Elephas maximus indicus: one gene and its partner. The protein of the gene in region 2 purifies or fractionates together with the protein of the main gene of each other region. This does not show direct contact. Links are inferred from orthologs where the notes say so. Each region holds a gene or a part of one and is shown on either strand. Other genes may lie near its edges.

Evidence for each region.
Region 1: the proteins of NF2 (region 2) and AMOTL1 purify together in Homo sapiens (affinity purification with mass spectrometry; 6 studies listed by BioGRID and IntAct, counting the BioPlex papers as one, with this or other methods). This does not show direct contact. The link is inferred for Elephas maximus indicus from reciprocal best matches to the Homo sapiens genes NF2 and AMOTL1.

What each region holds. Positions count from the first base shown.
Region 1 is NC_064825.1:26,223,810-26,231,203, reverse strand, and holds the start of AMOTL1 (angiomotin-like protein 1), read left to right. Parts: upstream 1-4,245; 5' UTR 4,246-4,329; intron 4,330-7,394. UniProt on the Homo sapiens protein: Inhibits the Wnt/beta-catenin signaling pathway, probably by recruiting CTNNB1 to recycling endosomes and hence preventing its translocation to the nucleus.
Region 2 is NC_064840.1:26,936,806-26,945,007, forward strand, and holds the start of NF2 (merlin), read right to left. Parts: upstream 3,086-8,202; 5' UTR 2,633-3,085; coding exon 2,519-2,632; intron 1-2,518. UniProt on the Homo sapiens protein: Probable regulator of the Hippo/SWH (Sav/Wts/Hpo) signaling pathway, a signaling pathway that plays a pivotal role in tumor suppression by restricting proliferation and promoting apoptosis.

The DNA of each region.
Region 1 (7,394 bases), on a different chromosome or scaffold from region 2:
TGGGTCCTGAACAGACACTACCTTAACACACTCGCCAAAGTTTACTGATACCTTACTGTGCTCCACAAGACAGACACTGGACATACAATCATAAGCTTCACAAGTACACTCCCTGCTTTCCTGAAAGTTGCACCTAATGGGGAAAATTAACTGTCAAACAAGCAAATATAGTACTTTGACTCCAAGAGATGTCCTAGTAGCTACAAATGTCTAAGTATTATGCATTGTTTTGTAAATAAATAGATGGAAAATATAAATATCTGACCTATACTTCTCCTACTGTATCCAAAGCAGACATTGCTTATTGATTATGTTGCCCTTTCTATTGAGCCCCAACATCCTTTTCAACATTACTAATCAATCTGAGGTCTTGCTTGAAATGAAACACTTAGTATTCCAGCTAAGAGCTATGAATTATCTTGCTGATTCAAAAGGTAGCTGAAGGCTTCTGGGATGGCCAAGTAGAAACTTTTAGATCAAACCTCTTGTAGATACCCAGCCAAAAACCCAGTGCCGTCTAGTTGATTCTGACTTATAGCGACCCTACAGGACAGAGTAGAACTGCCCCATAGAGTTTCCAAAGAGCACCTGGTAGATTCGAACTGCTGACCCTTTGGTTAGCAGCCATAGCACTTAACCACTATGTCACCAGGGTTTCCCCTTTTGTAGGTAACAACTATAAATTCTGGATAAGATACAAAAGCAACTAGCTGAAGGCACCGGAGAGAGAACAAAATCAGACAGAAACTAGGGGAGAGTCAACTCTGCCTAACCTCTGGGTGACTCCTGATCCACGTATGCATGAGGCAGACTCTAAGCAGCCCAGCCAGGGTTAAAAGAACTGACCTGAAGTTTCAGCTGTTGCCATCAAGATAGAATTTTGCAGTCCAGCCACCTTAAAAGCCTGAATAACAAAAATTCAATACTTACCAGAAGAACAAAATACAATCCAAACTTTCTATAACATATCATTGGTAATGACCAGGATATACTTCAAAATTATTTAAAATACAATAAAACAGGAAAGCATGATACATTTTAAAAAAGAAAAGATAATCAATAGAGACCAACTCCAGTGCAGACCTAGATATCAGAATTAAAAAAAAAAAAAAAAAAGATTAGCAGGCAATAATTTTAAAGAAGCTATTATAGCCATGGAGCCCTGGTGGCACAGTGGTTAAGAGCTTGGCTGCTAATGAAAAAGTCAGCAGTTTGAACCCACCGCTCTTTCTTGGAAACCCTATGGTTTCTACTCTGTCCTGTAGGGCCTCCATGAGTCAGAATCAACTTGACAGCAATGGGTTATTATAACTATGCTCAAGTATGTAAGGAATAGGCTCATAATGAATGAAAATATAGAAAACCTTAGCAGAGAAACAGAAACTATAAAAAAGCATCAAATGAAATTTAAGAACTGAAAAATATAGTATCTGAAATTAAAAATCACTAAATGTACTTAATAGCATAAAGGAGATGGAAGAGGAAAGACTCAATGAACCAGAAGTAGATCAACAGAAATGATCCAAACTGAAGAACAGATTTTTTAAAAATTCACAGACTCAGGATCTTTGGGCAATACAAAAAGGTCTAGCATACATGTAATTGGAGTCCCAGAAAGAGAGAGAACTAATGCTTCAGAAAAGTATTTGAATAAATAATGGCTGCTAAGTTCCCAATTGTGTAAGATAAATTTGCATATACCAAAACCTTGACAAACACTAAGGATTAATATAAAAAAACAAAATTAAATAAATAAATAAAAACACCTAGACATATCCTACATAGTCAAACTGCCAAAAATCAAAGACAAAGGCAAAGAAAAAATCTTGGAAGCAGGCAAAGAAAAAAGATACTTTGCAGAGTAGGAACAATGATTTTAAATGCCACTGAAACAATGGAGGCCAGAAACAATGAAGGCCAGAACACAGTGGGTCAACATCTTCAAATGCTTAAAGAAAAAAACCTACCAACCAGAATTTTATATCCAGCAATAACATCCTTGATGAATGAAGATGAAATGAGACACCTTCAGCAGAACTAATTTGTCACGAGTAGACCTGCACTACATGAAAGACTAAAGGACATTCTTCGAAACAAAGGGAAATAAAACTAGATGGCTACTCGGTTATTCAGGAAAGCATAAAACATCTCAGATGGTAAATGGTGTAAATATAAAATACCATTTTCTTCAGCTTAATTTATTTAAACTACGTGATTGTTTAAAGAAAAAACGTGGCATTGTATTGTGGAGTTCAGAGTGTATATAAAGGAAATACCTATTACAGCTACAACATAAAGGAGGAGGTAGAGAGGGTAAATACACCAAACCAGTAGCAAGACTCCTATGTTTTACATGAAGTGGTACAATATTAACTCCCAGGAGTCTGGGAAAAGTAAAGAATATATATTTTAATCCTTAAAGCAACCACTAAAAATATAATGCAAAGATGTGTTGCTAAAAAGCCAATAACCTGATTCCGACTCATAGTGACCCTATAGGGCAGGGTGGAACTGCCCCATAGTATTTCCAAGGAGCACCTGGTGGGTTCAAACTGCTGACCTTTTGGTTAGCAGGTGTAGCACTTAACCACGGCGCCACCAGGGCTCCAAAAAGCGAATAGATAGATTAAAATGGAATTTTAAAATATGAATGCAAAAGAAAGCAAAAGGAGGAGCAGAGGAATAAAAAAAAAAAGGGGGGGAACAAAAAGAAAACAAATAGTAAAATGGCATACCTGGAAGTGGAGTGGGCTGTCTGAGGTCATTCACCCCTTAACTATCTACTGAGTGCCTACTGAACGCCAGCCTCTGTGCTAGGCTTTGACAATACTATGGTGAATGAAACAAAAATGATTCCTGCCTTCATCAGTCCTACCAGTGTCCAAACTCTGTTCCTCTTCTCCTCTTCTACTTCTATCATTATTTACACCCTGGACAGAAGACTAGCAAATTCTTTTTATAAGCCAGTCTGAAATGTCTTAAATTTCCAAGTTCAAAAACCAAACCTTTTCTAATGTTGGGCCTGAATACCTCTATCTGAACAGAAAAGGGTTTCTTCTTCTTTTAGCCTCTCTGGAGTGAAATGTGACACAAGAAAATCTGTCAAACCTCAGAACAGCTCAGCAAGAACCTGGACACATGCCTAGTGACCCAGAGTTACCTTACCCTCTCCTGAAGTAGAGTTGAGGAAGAAAGGGCAGTCAGCTGCCAAGCTGTCCACCCCACTTCTAACAGAGCTCACATCCATTGCCATTCCTTGTCCTGGCATCCCAGCCAGAAGTCCTGCCTGAAGTTTTTGCCCAAGAACCTGGCACCAAATGGGAGGTGCCTAGCACTGAAGTAACCGAGAATCTCTTGTTACAAGTCCAATTGCTCCAGCCTGACCCTCAACATACAAAAAAGCAATCCAGGCTTGGTTGACTAGTACTACAAGCTCATTGGCATCGAGTTGATTGCAACTCATAGCGACCCTATAGGACAGGGCAGAACTGCCCTATAGGGTTTCCAAGGCTGTGATCTTTACAGAAGCAGACTGCCACAGTTTTCTCCCTCAGAGCCGCTGATGGGTTTGAACTGCTGACCTTTCAGTTAGCAGCCGAGTGCTTAACCACTATACGACCTGAGCACCTTAGTACTTCATCAACAAAATGAAAATAACAAAATTTGGTTAGAATGGCTGCCACACTTCTTTTTTTCCATACAGTCGCTTGCCCCTCTGCACTAGCTTTCGCTTCAGCTTTGTATATGTGTACTTACAAATCCACCAGCTCTGAAAACCTCTTAGCAAGGTGATAATTTCCAGCTCCCTTATTGCCCTATCTGGGTTATTGCCCTTCCTCCAGACTGAAATGTCTTTGTTTCTCTCTCCCACCCCCTGCCCTCTGAGAATTTCTACCTCTCAGAAGTTTAAACCTGTTTTCCTTCCCTAGAGTACCGTTTTTTTTCAGACAGCTGAATTCTTAGAGATAATGATAAGACTCAGGGAAATAAGTGCATGGTTTCCTCCTCCCTGGCGCCGGTTAAGGCGATTGGTGCTTCGGGACGTTCTGAAGCTCTTTGAAAACAACAGGCTAGTCAGATTCCAAAGATTTACCTTCTGAAGGCTCAGCATGTCTGGGCAATGGTTGCATAATTTGGATGGAGTCATCACTGGATGGAGCAGAGTTGGCTCAGGCGGGGAGTACTCGTTGCTCTTTTTAAACTCCATGGCACCAGGGATGAAGTCACCTTTCTTCTTTTAAAACCAACTGACTTGCCCCGTGAGTCCCTGTCAATTCTGTTAGAACTTGGTGCTTTCTCCACTGCTGCACACCTAGGACCTCCTCTCAGGTAAGAAAACTCTTCTTTAGTGGGTTTCTATTAAAAAAAAAAAAAAAAAAAAATCCAGGGAAGGGGGATTTGAGGGGAACTTTGGAGGGCATTTGTTTGTAGAGGTGGGGTTAAGGTTGAAGGACACTCGATGAAATGAAAAGAATGGCTGCTTTCCAGGCAGCTGGTCTCCACCTGGTGGGTGGGGCAGCCCTGGGCTGGGTAAGCAGAAACCCCACTCAGCCCTGAGCTGAGACGGTGGACTCTCAGAGTGGTCAAGGACATCTAATCCAGGTTTGGTTTCTCTTAGTTGTTTAATGAACTGAGCACGTTGGTGAAGCAGCTGCAAGTGGTCTTCTTTGGGCTGGGGCCATTTGTACCCTCTTTTGCTTTCCTAATGTTTGGCTTTGTGTTTTGGATAGAATAACCCTCAGAAGGTTCTGATAACAGTTGATGTGCAGAAAAGCAGCGGCTCTCTGAAGAGCCCTCATTTGCTCATTAGCTGGCTTGAATGCTTCCCTTCTTCCTCAAGAGGGTAGGGGAGACAAAGGAGCCCTGGCTTCCTGTCCTGACATGCAAGTACCTTGTGTAAACAATGGCTGTGTGGCTGCAGGTGAGGCAGAAATGTACAAAAACATCTTAGTGCCTGCCCATATGAGTTCTTCTAAGAAAACGGACGTGAAATCTTGTTTTATGTGTGCACAGTCCACTGAAATCTCCCTCTGCTTTCTCTGAGTTATACAAGTCACTGTCACTGACTGAATCGTAGAGTCTTACTTTAGCTTTCAAATGCTCAGTAGAGACATTTTGGTTATGACACAGGCGCCTGCAGGGTGATGAATGGCAATTGGAGAGAGCTGAGCCCCTACGAAGTAGAAACATTTGAGAGTTGCAGATCCCCTTCCTTGATTGACACAGAGCCCTGCCACAAATAGCATTGGCTGCAGTCATCTATAACCTATGAAGGGAGCAAAGGATCTCATTTAGATAAAAGATGCTTTGTTTTCAAAAGGAGGGTGAGAATGGTTATACAACTTGAAGAATGTAATTAATGTCTGAATTCTACATGAAGAAATTACTGAATTGGTATATGTTTAGCTGTACATATTTCCAATAACTATCAGAAATAAAAATTAAAAAAAAAAAAAGATGTTTGGTTTTAAATGCAGTTGCATACTGGCTACCAGTTCTTGGTTACTCATTGACCTCAAACTCAATCATGCTCAAAATCCATACTCACCTGAAATCAGCTCCCCTTCTATGCTCCTAGCTCAGTGAAAAGCACCTGGTTGTCTGTGACAGATTTCTGGACTTCTCCTTTGACCCTTCCCTCTTCCTCACATTCCACATCTGGTTTGGCAAGTATCCAGCAGGTTCCAACTTAATATCTCTCAACTGCACCCAGCTCTCTCCACCTCCTTGGCCATTATCCTTGTTTAAGACCTTATCATCTTCTACCAGGAACACTGAAAGCTTTCATCTAGGCTTCGTCTCTCCAGTCTTACCTTCCTGGCAGCAATCAGAGTGATGGTTCCAAGATGATTGGTCAGCACCTGCACAATCCAATCAATCACTAATCTGTCGATTCTGTCTTCTTACTATGCCTCAACATTTCTGACATCTCTCTGTTCTACCTCTATTACCTTGGCTCAGCCCACAAGCACCCTTTGCCTGAGTTATTGCAGTTGCCTCCTAGCTGGTCTTCCTGCCACCAGGATCGTGCTCATCCTAGTATAAGACATCTTAAGCTTCTTGTCTTCCCAGGCTTCTGAGGGCATTTTTACAAGAACTTGGAACATGGGTTTTTGGAAGCATTTTCATTTTTATGACTCTTGTGGATTCTTCAAGGAAGTGGGGAGAGAAAAGGGGAGGAGTTAGGGGATATGTATTGCAGTGGGAAGAAAGCACGGAGAATGCAAGAAGCTCCCTTGGAGCCACACACGTTTGCATTTGAATCATAGCTGCTCCACTTCCTACTGTGGCTTTGGCCAAGTTTGTGAACCTTCTTGAGACTCATTTCCTCAACTATGAAATGGAAATAATAATACCTACTTTTTTTTTTACTTCACTGAGTAAATATAAGGGTTAATTGAACAATTATGGAAGACTCTGAACCAAGCAATTAAGAAGTTTTGGTTTCTTTTTTTCTTTCTTTCCCTTTTAAAGCTTATAATTTCTAATCACAATGTCTTGAAAGTATTTTTACATATGTGTGTGTATAATGATCTGTATTTAACATGGTGGAAAGAAGGCATGGCAAAGAAATATACGAGAACTCGCTTAAGGAACTCACCATCTACTTAAAGAGATAAATCAAACCTAAACAGCCCAAAAGCATCAATAAAACAAGCAATCTGTGATTGCCATGTATACGTTCCCAACTGAGTACATAAGCAGGAAAGGCCTGAGTAAGCAGGCATGTGAATACCTGCAGAGTGTAAATAATGCTATATCAAGCAAATTTATATTTAGGCTTCTTGGGGATTTAAAAATCCTTGGTCTCTCTGATGTTCCCAGTTTAGAGTGATTCTAGAACGTATAGATGTATGTTTAAAAGTGACCTTATTCATTCAGCAAGCATTTGTTGAGTACCTGCTCTGTGCTGGGTCTTAAAATATACACTTCTTTGTTACTCCTCCCATGGAGAGGTGAACCTGAGCTAACTTTAGGGACTTGCATGCAATGGAATGAGAAGGAAGTGATGTTTTGGGACATCCAAAGCTGGGTTCTAAGAAGTTTTGCAGCTTCCTCGTCGATTTCTTGTTTCACTCACTCTGGGGAAAGTCAACCACCATGTAAACTGGCTCTCTGGGAATAAAAAAGAGAGAGAGTGCTGAAGTATAGTGTTTGCCAATTTCCATAGTGTAAATAATCCCATCTCGGCCAGTTGCAAGCTATACCGAATGCAGAGTTGAGAAGAGGTATGCAATCAGTTCTTAAAAGGGCCACAAGCTGGTCCCAGAGCACCACTGCCAATTTTTCTGAAACTACCATGTTGAGAGACAGCCCAAGCTAGCTATGTGAAGAAAGTCCGTGGAGAAAAACCCAAACAGCCTCCAGTTGTTCCAGCCATTCAAGCTCAATCT
Region 2 (8,202 bases):
AACTCCTTGCCACTTCTGAACTGTGTCTCCTTCCCCCTGCTGCTCAGTCCGATTTCCTAACTTTGCCTTTGATGTTCAGGGCTCCTAGCATGTCATATATATAATCGTTTTACTTGTTTTTTTGGGTCTTTGTTGTAAGCGGGATCACCAGAAGCGTCTGACTACTCTGCTATCTTGGCTTCGCCTCCCTTTTTTTTTTTTTTTTTAACAATATTGTATGGTGTTTTCCGTGAAGGTTTGGACAGCAGTTTAGGTTCCCATTCAACAATTTCTACACAAGTTGTTCAGCAACATTGGTTACATTTTTCACAATGCATGAACATTCTCATTATGTCTGTTCTGGTTGTCCTGTTTCCACTAATCTAGTTTCCCTGCCCTCCTACATTCTTATCTTTGTTTTAAAGTAATTGCTTACCATTTGGTCTCAAATAGGTGATTTTTAAAAAATCACAGTACTTAAGGGTGATATTATCTTTTGAGCCAATTTGTTATCTAGCTACAAGGTGACCTCAGGGGTTAGTTTTGGTTCAAGGTTTGAAGAGTATATCAGGGCAACAGTCTTAGGGAGTCCTCTGGTGTCAACCAGTCCAGTAGGTCTGGCTTTTTTTTTAGGAATTTGAGGTTCTATTTCACATTTTTTCTCCCATGCTATCAGGGTCCATTTATCATGGCCCTGAGCTCCAACTGTTCATAAGAGCACCTTTAGCCATGAACTTCTCCAAGAGCTTTTGCAAATGAAGTCTGTTTCTTTGGGAAGATATTAGGAGGTATCTGTTCCATGGCCTGTTTCTTCCTCCTGGCAAAATCTCTGAGCCAAGCTCTGGAGCTGTGTGGGTAGGAACAAGGCAAGCTTCTCTCTGAGTGGCACCCCTGATCTAGGAGCTGAGCACTTGGGGAGGGGGGGCAGTAGCTTGGGGTCTTCTTGGTTTGTCTCTCCTGGTGTGGAACCATAGCTTCGCAAGCCAAGGCACGAGGAGAGTTGGCACCCCAGTGTTCTCAGTTCACCATATCCAAGGTAGAGCCTCCATCCATGAGTAGGGCTGGGGAGAAGAAGAGAGCCCCCACCTTTTGTCTGCCCCAGCCCACAGGTAACAGGTAACTTGGTGCAAGATGATAAACATGCAAGTCCTGCTCTTCCTGGGAAGAAAGTCCCCTGGCTGGAAGCTGAGGGGAGAGCGAGCCCTGTGTTCTTGATTGCAGCAGTGTGGATTGGAGCTTCCACCTCCCTGAGCTGAAGGGCTGAGGGAGGGAGAGGTCTTGATTTAAATATCACAGACTTTCTTTTTTTTTTTTTTTACCAATTTTCATGGATTTTCTTGAGTAGATGTTTCCTCATTTCCTGTTTCCCCTTAGGACCATTTCAAGAAGTTTTCAATGGTGGTAACTGTTGTTTTTATAATTTTCACCAGTTTCAGTAGGAGCAGGTAAGTAGAACTCCTCATGCTGTCACGCCATTAGGGACCCTGTGTAAGGCTGATTCTGCATTATAACAGTAGGGTTGAAGAACTGAGTAGTGGCAATAAGACTCTCCATGGCCTGCAAAGCCAATAATATTTACTGTCTGACCCTTTACAGAAAAAGATTGCCAACCCCTAACTTAGGTCACTGCTGCTGATACTGCTGGTCCACGGACCACACTTTTGAGTAGCAAGAATTTAAATTACTTGAGAAGGAGTACTGAATGGGTTAAGAGCTTGGTTCAAAACCTCACTTTGCCATCTACTAGATATAAAGTTTTTGAGAAAGGGAATGATAATAATGGTATCTACCTCACTGGGCTGTTGTAAGGATTAAATGTAGGACTGTCTGGCACTTATTAAGTATTCAACAAATGACAGCTATCATCAAGGTATAAGACAGCATGTCTTTTCTTAAAGTCTTTTCCAGAAAAATTTAAGCTTCAGAAACAGGAAACAAGTATAAACTTTCAATATACAAGACGCTGCTTTTAATACCCGGGGTGCATAACAATATTACCTAATAAAGTTAAAAACTCACCCCCAAAAAACAAACAAACATTGCCATCAAGTCTATTCAGACTCATAGCAACTCTATAGGGCAGAGTAGAACCGCCCCATAGAGTTTCCAAGGAACACTTGGTGATTTCGAACTGCCGATCTTTTCCTTATCAGACGTAGCTCTTAACCACTACGCCACCACCCAGCCAGAACTTAAGCCTGACACTGAAAACGAGAATTCTCTACCATGGACGCCCGCAACCCCTTCCAGTAACAATGAATGAAAATCTTCAGGAAGTGCTTCCAAACCCAAAAGCCCTATGAAGAAAAGTAGCAATTATCTTCAACATGAGGATTTGGGCCTAGACGACCCCTTCCATTTCCACCCGTCTCTTATCTATACCCAGATGATGATATAAGGAGAATCCCTCAAGCTTCCACTTCGACTGACCCCACGGCGGGGGCGCCCAGGTCAGTGCCGGATCCGGGACAGGGCCGGGTAAACAGGGATTCGGTCGGGCTGCCCCTCGCCGCGGCCCGTCGAGGTTGCCGGCGGTTACCTCGCAATTGAACTCCATCTCGGCGTCCATGGTGACAATCCGCACGGTGAACGTCTTGGGCTGCTTCCTCTTGAGAGAGCTGAAGCTCATGCGGGAAGCGATGGCCCCGGCCATGGTGCGGGGTTCGGGCCCGGGACCTCTGTGCCCCCGCGGCCTGCGCTCTGGACCGGTTAACCCCCCTGGAGGAGCCGCACAGGCCTCAAGGCCACCATGGTGGCCGGCCGGCCGGTCCGGGAGCGGGTTGGGCGGCGCGGGGCCCCTACGGCCCGCATGGGCCGCAAGGACCCTGCCCAGAAGCGAAAAGGGGCGTCGGGGGCGGGCCCTGCTGGCCACGGGGAGGGTACGCGAGCCGGGACCGACGGGGCGGACGCGGCCCGGCACTGGAGGGAGTCGGGCTGGGGACGCCGGGGAAGAGGGCGGCTAAGACGACAGCGGCCCACGGGGGTCGCGGAGACGCGCTACAGCTGGGCGCGCACACGCGCGCGTGCCTCTCACCCTTCCCGCTCCGCGCGCCCCCGGCAAGCGTCCCCTCCCTGCTGCGCCCGACCGACTCCCGCCCCGCCTCCAGGCCCCTCAGACGACTACACACGGCGCAACGCAACCCGGCGGCTGCCTCCCAGAAGCCGGGGTTGGCTGACAACTCCAAGGGAGGCGGGGATTTTCTGTTCCGTCCCGCCTGCTTCTGATTAGCTCCACCAATTGAAAGTTCCGCTCTAGCTGTAGGCGGGAGCTTGGGCTTGGCGTTGAATAGCTGTAGCAGCAGTCACTCCGAATGCTTTTGTTCGTGAGTGTACGCCTACTCTAGCAAGACTGGTTGAGGCGGCGCAGCCTGGCGCGCCTCTCCCGGGAATCCACGTCCGGGCGTGTTCCTGAGCGCACGAGTTGGGTTCCTTCCTAGTCCAGCTAGGAACTGCATTTTTGACAGAGCACGCCCTGCGTATGGCGCCTCAGAAGGTGTATTTTAGACGCCAGGCGGATGTTCCTTTTTGGCTCTCAATTAACTACATTCAATGACCTCTGTGTTTCACGACTTTTAAAACACTTGTGGAGGCCTGTTTGGTTGCTGACATTGTCCCGCCGGATTCCTCAGCCTCGCATTAGAAGTGATACTAATTACTGTCAAAGAGAGATTATAATTGCACCTACCTCATGGGGTTGTTCAGGAGTTTAAGCGAGTTAATACACATAAAGCTTTAAAACGGTGGCCGGCACATACTAGGTTGGATCCAATGAAATTGTTGCTTTGGTAGATCAAAAAAGCTCGAAAATTTTCATTTTTCATTTTGTACTTTATGATTTTCATTTTTTAACCATATATGCTTCCTATTTATGTTTTAATATCATCAAGGATTATGCTGGGGGGAGGGAATTGAAACGAATCTACTCTCAACCCAGAAAACTTCTCCACAAAAACGACAGAAAGAAAAGTTTGATTATTGAATAAGCATTAAACCAGAATGTGATGCATCACAGGGAATCCACTACAGAGATTGCAAGAACAGAAAGAAACCTTATCCTTTATATAAAACAAAACAAAAATCCGTTGCTGTCCAGTCGATTCCGACTGTAGCGAGCCTACAGGACAGAGTAGAACTTCCCCATAGGATTTCCAAGGAGTGGCTGGTGGATTCCAACTGCGAAACTTTTGATTAGCAGCCGACTTCTTGACCACTGTGGCCACCAAAGCTCCTATCTTTTACATAGCTGAGGGGATAGAACTCAGTACAACCAAGTTTAAGACAAAATTGCTAACTTTCCAGTATCTATGTCAGGAGACCTAAAGTTATGCTCATCTTCCAGGAAAGTGGGTGGTAGGGATGGGAAATTTTGTGTGTGTGTGTGTGTGTGAATGTACACAACAAAACACCAATTTAACAGTTTCTACATGTGCAATTTAGTGACATTAATTACTTTTTAGTTGTGCAACCATTCTCACCCTCCTTTTCTGAGTTGTCCCTCTCTCATTAACATAAACCCACTGCCCCCTAAGGCTCCTGTCTAATTTTTCAAGTTGCTGTTGTCAACTTGATCCCATATAGATACCTCTTAAAAGAGCATAATGCTCAAGGCAGACGTTTTATACTAGTTAAGATAAACTATTGTTTTAAGATGTCTTCGGGGGATGTTTTTGGTTTAAGGTCTAAGGTTTCTTGATGATTACGTTTCAAATCAAATGGCTCTGAGACCACTGAGGAAACATCCTTGACTTATATACTTTTCAGAAAGTCAAAGGAAGATTCTGCCATTAAAAGAACTGAAACCTGTTATTTTCAATTTGTATTTTTCCTTACATTTATAATGGATGTGTGTGTGGGGTTGAATTATACCTGTGTTTAAAAATATAGGGTTGCTATTTGTTGGGATCGACTTGAAGGCAACAGGTTTGGTTTGGTTTTTTTTTTTTTTTATTTTTTGAAAAGGGCCCTCATCTATGATACATCTTTTCGTCCTGTCTAACCCAGAGGAAAGGAGAAGGAAGAAAACCAAGGACACAGGAAAATATTATCCTTAAGGACTAAAGGACCGTGTAAACCAGAGACTCAACCAACCTAAGACCTGAAGAACTAGATGGTGCCCAGCTACCCCCAACGTCCACCCTGACAGGGATCACAACAAGGAGTACCAAACAAAGCAGGAGAAAAATGTAAAACAGTATTCAAATTCACATAAAAAGACCAAACTTACTGGTCTGACGGAGACTGGAGGAACCCCTGAAACTATGGCCCCCGGAAGCTCTGTTAACCCAGAGCTGAAACCATTCCTGAAGCCCACTTTTCAGACAAAGATTACACATACACAAGAATAACACACATGAGGAACTGGGTTTCTTAATTCAATTAAGTATAGGAGACCAAATGGGCAGCTCCTGTTCAAAAGCAGGACGAGAAGGCAGGAAGGGACAGGAACTGGATGAATGGACACAGGGAACCTGGGGAGGAAAGGAAGCACATGCTGTCACATTGTGGGGATTGCAACCAATGTCACAAAAAAAAAAATGTATAAATTTTTGAATGAGAAATTAACTTGAGCTGTAAATTTTCACCTAAAGCACAACAAAATAAATAAATAAAGGGGGCCCTGGTGGTGCTGTGGTTAAGAGCTCAGCTGCCAACCAAAAAGTCAGCAGTTTAAATCCACCAGCCACTCCTTGGAAACCCTATGGGGCAGTTCTACTCAGTCCTATAGGGCTGCTATGAGTAAGAATCGACTCCACAGCACTGGGTTTGGTTTGGCTTTGGTATTTAAAAAAATAATAATTTTTTTTGTTGCTGTTGTTGTAAATATACCAAACCAAAACCAAACCCAGTGCCACTGAGTCGTTTCAGACTCATAGCGACCTTATCAGTAGAACTGACCCCGATAGAGTTTCCAAGGAGCGCCTGGTGGATTCAAACTGCCAACCCTTTGGTTAGCAGCCATAGCTCTTAACCACTACGCCACCAGGGTTTCCTACATATAACAATAAATTTTAAGATAATTTCTAATCGTCAAAATTGATTTTATTTTTAAATTATTTTAATTGTTGAATTGTTGTTGTTGTAGTTATGTGCCGGAGAGTTGATTCCAACTCACAGTGGCCCCATGTGACAGGGTAGATCTGCCCCATAGGAGTTTTTTTCTTTCTTTTTTTAATGTATTTTAGATGAGGGTTTACAGAGCAAATTGGTTTCTCATTAAACAATTAATACACATATTATTTTGGGCGAGTGTGCCTATTTAGTCTCGTTTTGTTTTATGGACCTGTCTAATCTTTGGCTGGAGGATGAATCTCAGAAGTGCCATCACTACTGAGGTAAAAAGGAGTCCAGGGGCCATACTGTCTGAGTTCTCCAGTCTCTGTCAGACTAGTAAGTCTGATTTGTTTGTTTGTTTGTAAATTTAGAATTCTGTTCTACATTTTTCTCCAGCTCTGTCCAGGACCCTCTATTTTGATCCTTGTCAGAGCAGTCAGTGGTGGTGGCCAGGCACCATCTAGTTGTGCTGGACTCAGTTGCCCCATAGGGTTTTCATAGCCAGGTCTTTCTCCTGTGGAGTCGCTGTGTAGGTTTGAACCATCGACCTTTGGGTTAGCAGCCAAGCACCCAACTGTTGTGCCACAAAACAAAACAAAAAAAACCTGTTGCTATAGAGTCAATTCTGACTCATAGTGACCCTATGGAGCAGAGTACAACTGCCACATAGGATTTCGAGGAGCAGCTGGTGGATTTGAACTGCCAACCTTTTCGTTAGCAGCTGAGCTCTTAACCACAGTGCCACCAAAACCAAACCAAGCCCATTGCCATCAAGTCGATTCTGACCAGGGCTCTTTAATTGTCCAGTAGAGAAGATTTAATCACACATAAGTGTTAACCATCATCAGCATTACCCCCACTCTGCAGATGAAGAAGATGAGACTTTTAGCATGATAAAGTCACTTGCTCACCCAGATGCTGTTGTTACATGCCATAGAGTCAGTTCTGACTCATAGCAACCGTACGTACAACAGAATGAAACATTGCCTGGTCCTGCACCATCTTCACAATCATTACTATGTTTGAGCCCATCGTTGTGGGCATGTGTCAGTGCATTTCATTGAGGGTGTTCATCTTTTTTACTGACCCTGTTTCAAGCATGATATCCTTCTCCAGGGACTGGTTCCTCCTGATAACATGTCCAAAGTACGTGAGACAAAGTTTTACCATCCTCGCTTCTAAAGAGCGTTCTAGTTGTAGTTCTTCCAAGACAGATTTGTTCATTCTTCTGGCAGTTCATGGTATATTCAATATTCTTCTCCAACACCATAATTCAAAGGCATCAATTCTTCAGTCTTCCTTATTCATTGTCCAGGTTTCCCAAGCATATGAGACAACTGAAAATACCCTGACTTGGGTCAGGCGCACCTTAGTACCACCTCAAGGTGACATCTTTGCTTTTTAACACCTGAAAGAGATCTTTTGGAGCAGATTTGCCCAATGCAACATGTCCTTTGATTTCTTGACTGCTGCCGAGACAGGCAAGAGATGGAGCTGCTGGCTGAATTAAATCAAGGCTACATTTCAAGGCCCTGTGTGCTTGACCAGCTATAATTAAATAGTCTCTGAATCTAAACCTAAGTGCAAACCACCATATAACTGTTGCTGCTGGCACCCGAAAACTACTTATAGTTAACAAACTAGGTGCTTAGACAAGATAAGGGACTACATTTCAGGGCCCTGTGTGCTTGACCAGCTATAAATTACTGATAATCTTCCTGAGTTGTTTTTCAAGGCCTCACCATGTGCAGAGCATATGTAGTAAAGATCAACATGGACCATGAATGACCTTCCACATGAGACAAAAATGAACAGGGACCCCTCGCCGGGCCTTGAACCAAGATCCCGAGGCATCACGCATGCATGACATCCCAGAATAAGTCCTGTTCGACCTCCCAGCAGCCTTTGTAACAGACTCCATCTTGGTTCCAGCAACCTCTGCAAAGAAGTCCATCTTGAATTCTAACTGCACATGCATTTAATTTTCATAATCCCTCCCCTTCCCCTGGAAATCTCCACCCATCTAATGAATAAAGATAATGCGTTTTTCCTATCTAAAAACTTTTATAAGCCCTAGAGGATCCTTTGTCCAGCGAGAGACTGGAGGCTAGTGTAGGTGGAAACCCCTCTCCCTCTCTCCCTTGCGAGCCTTTTACTCTGTCTCTAATAAAC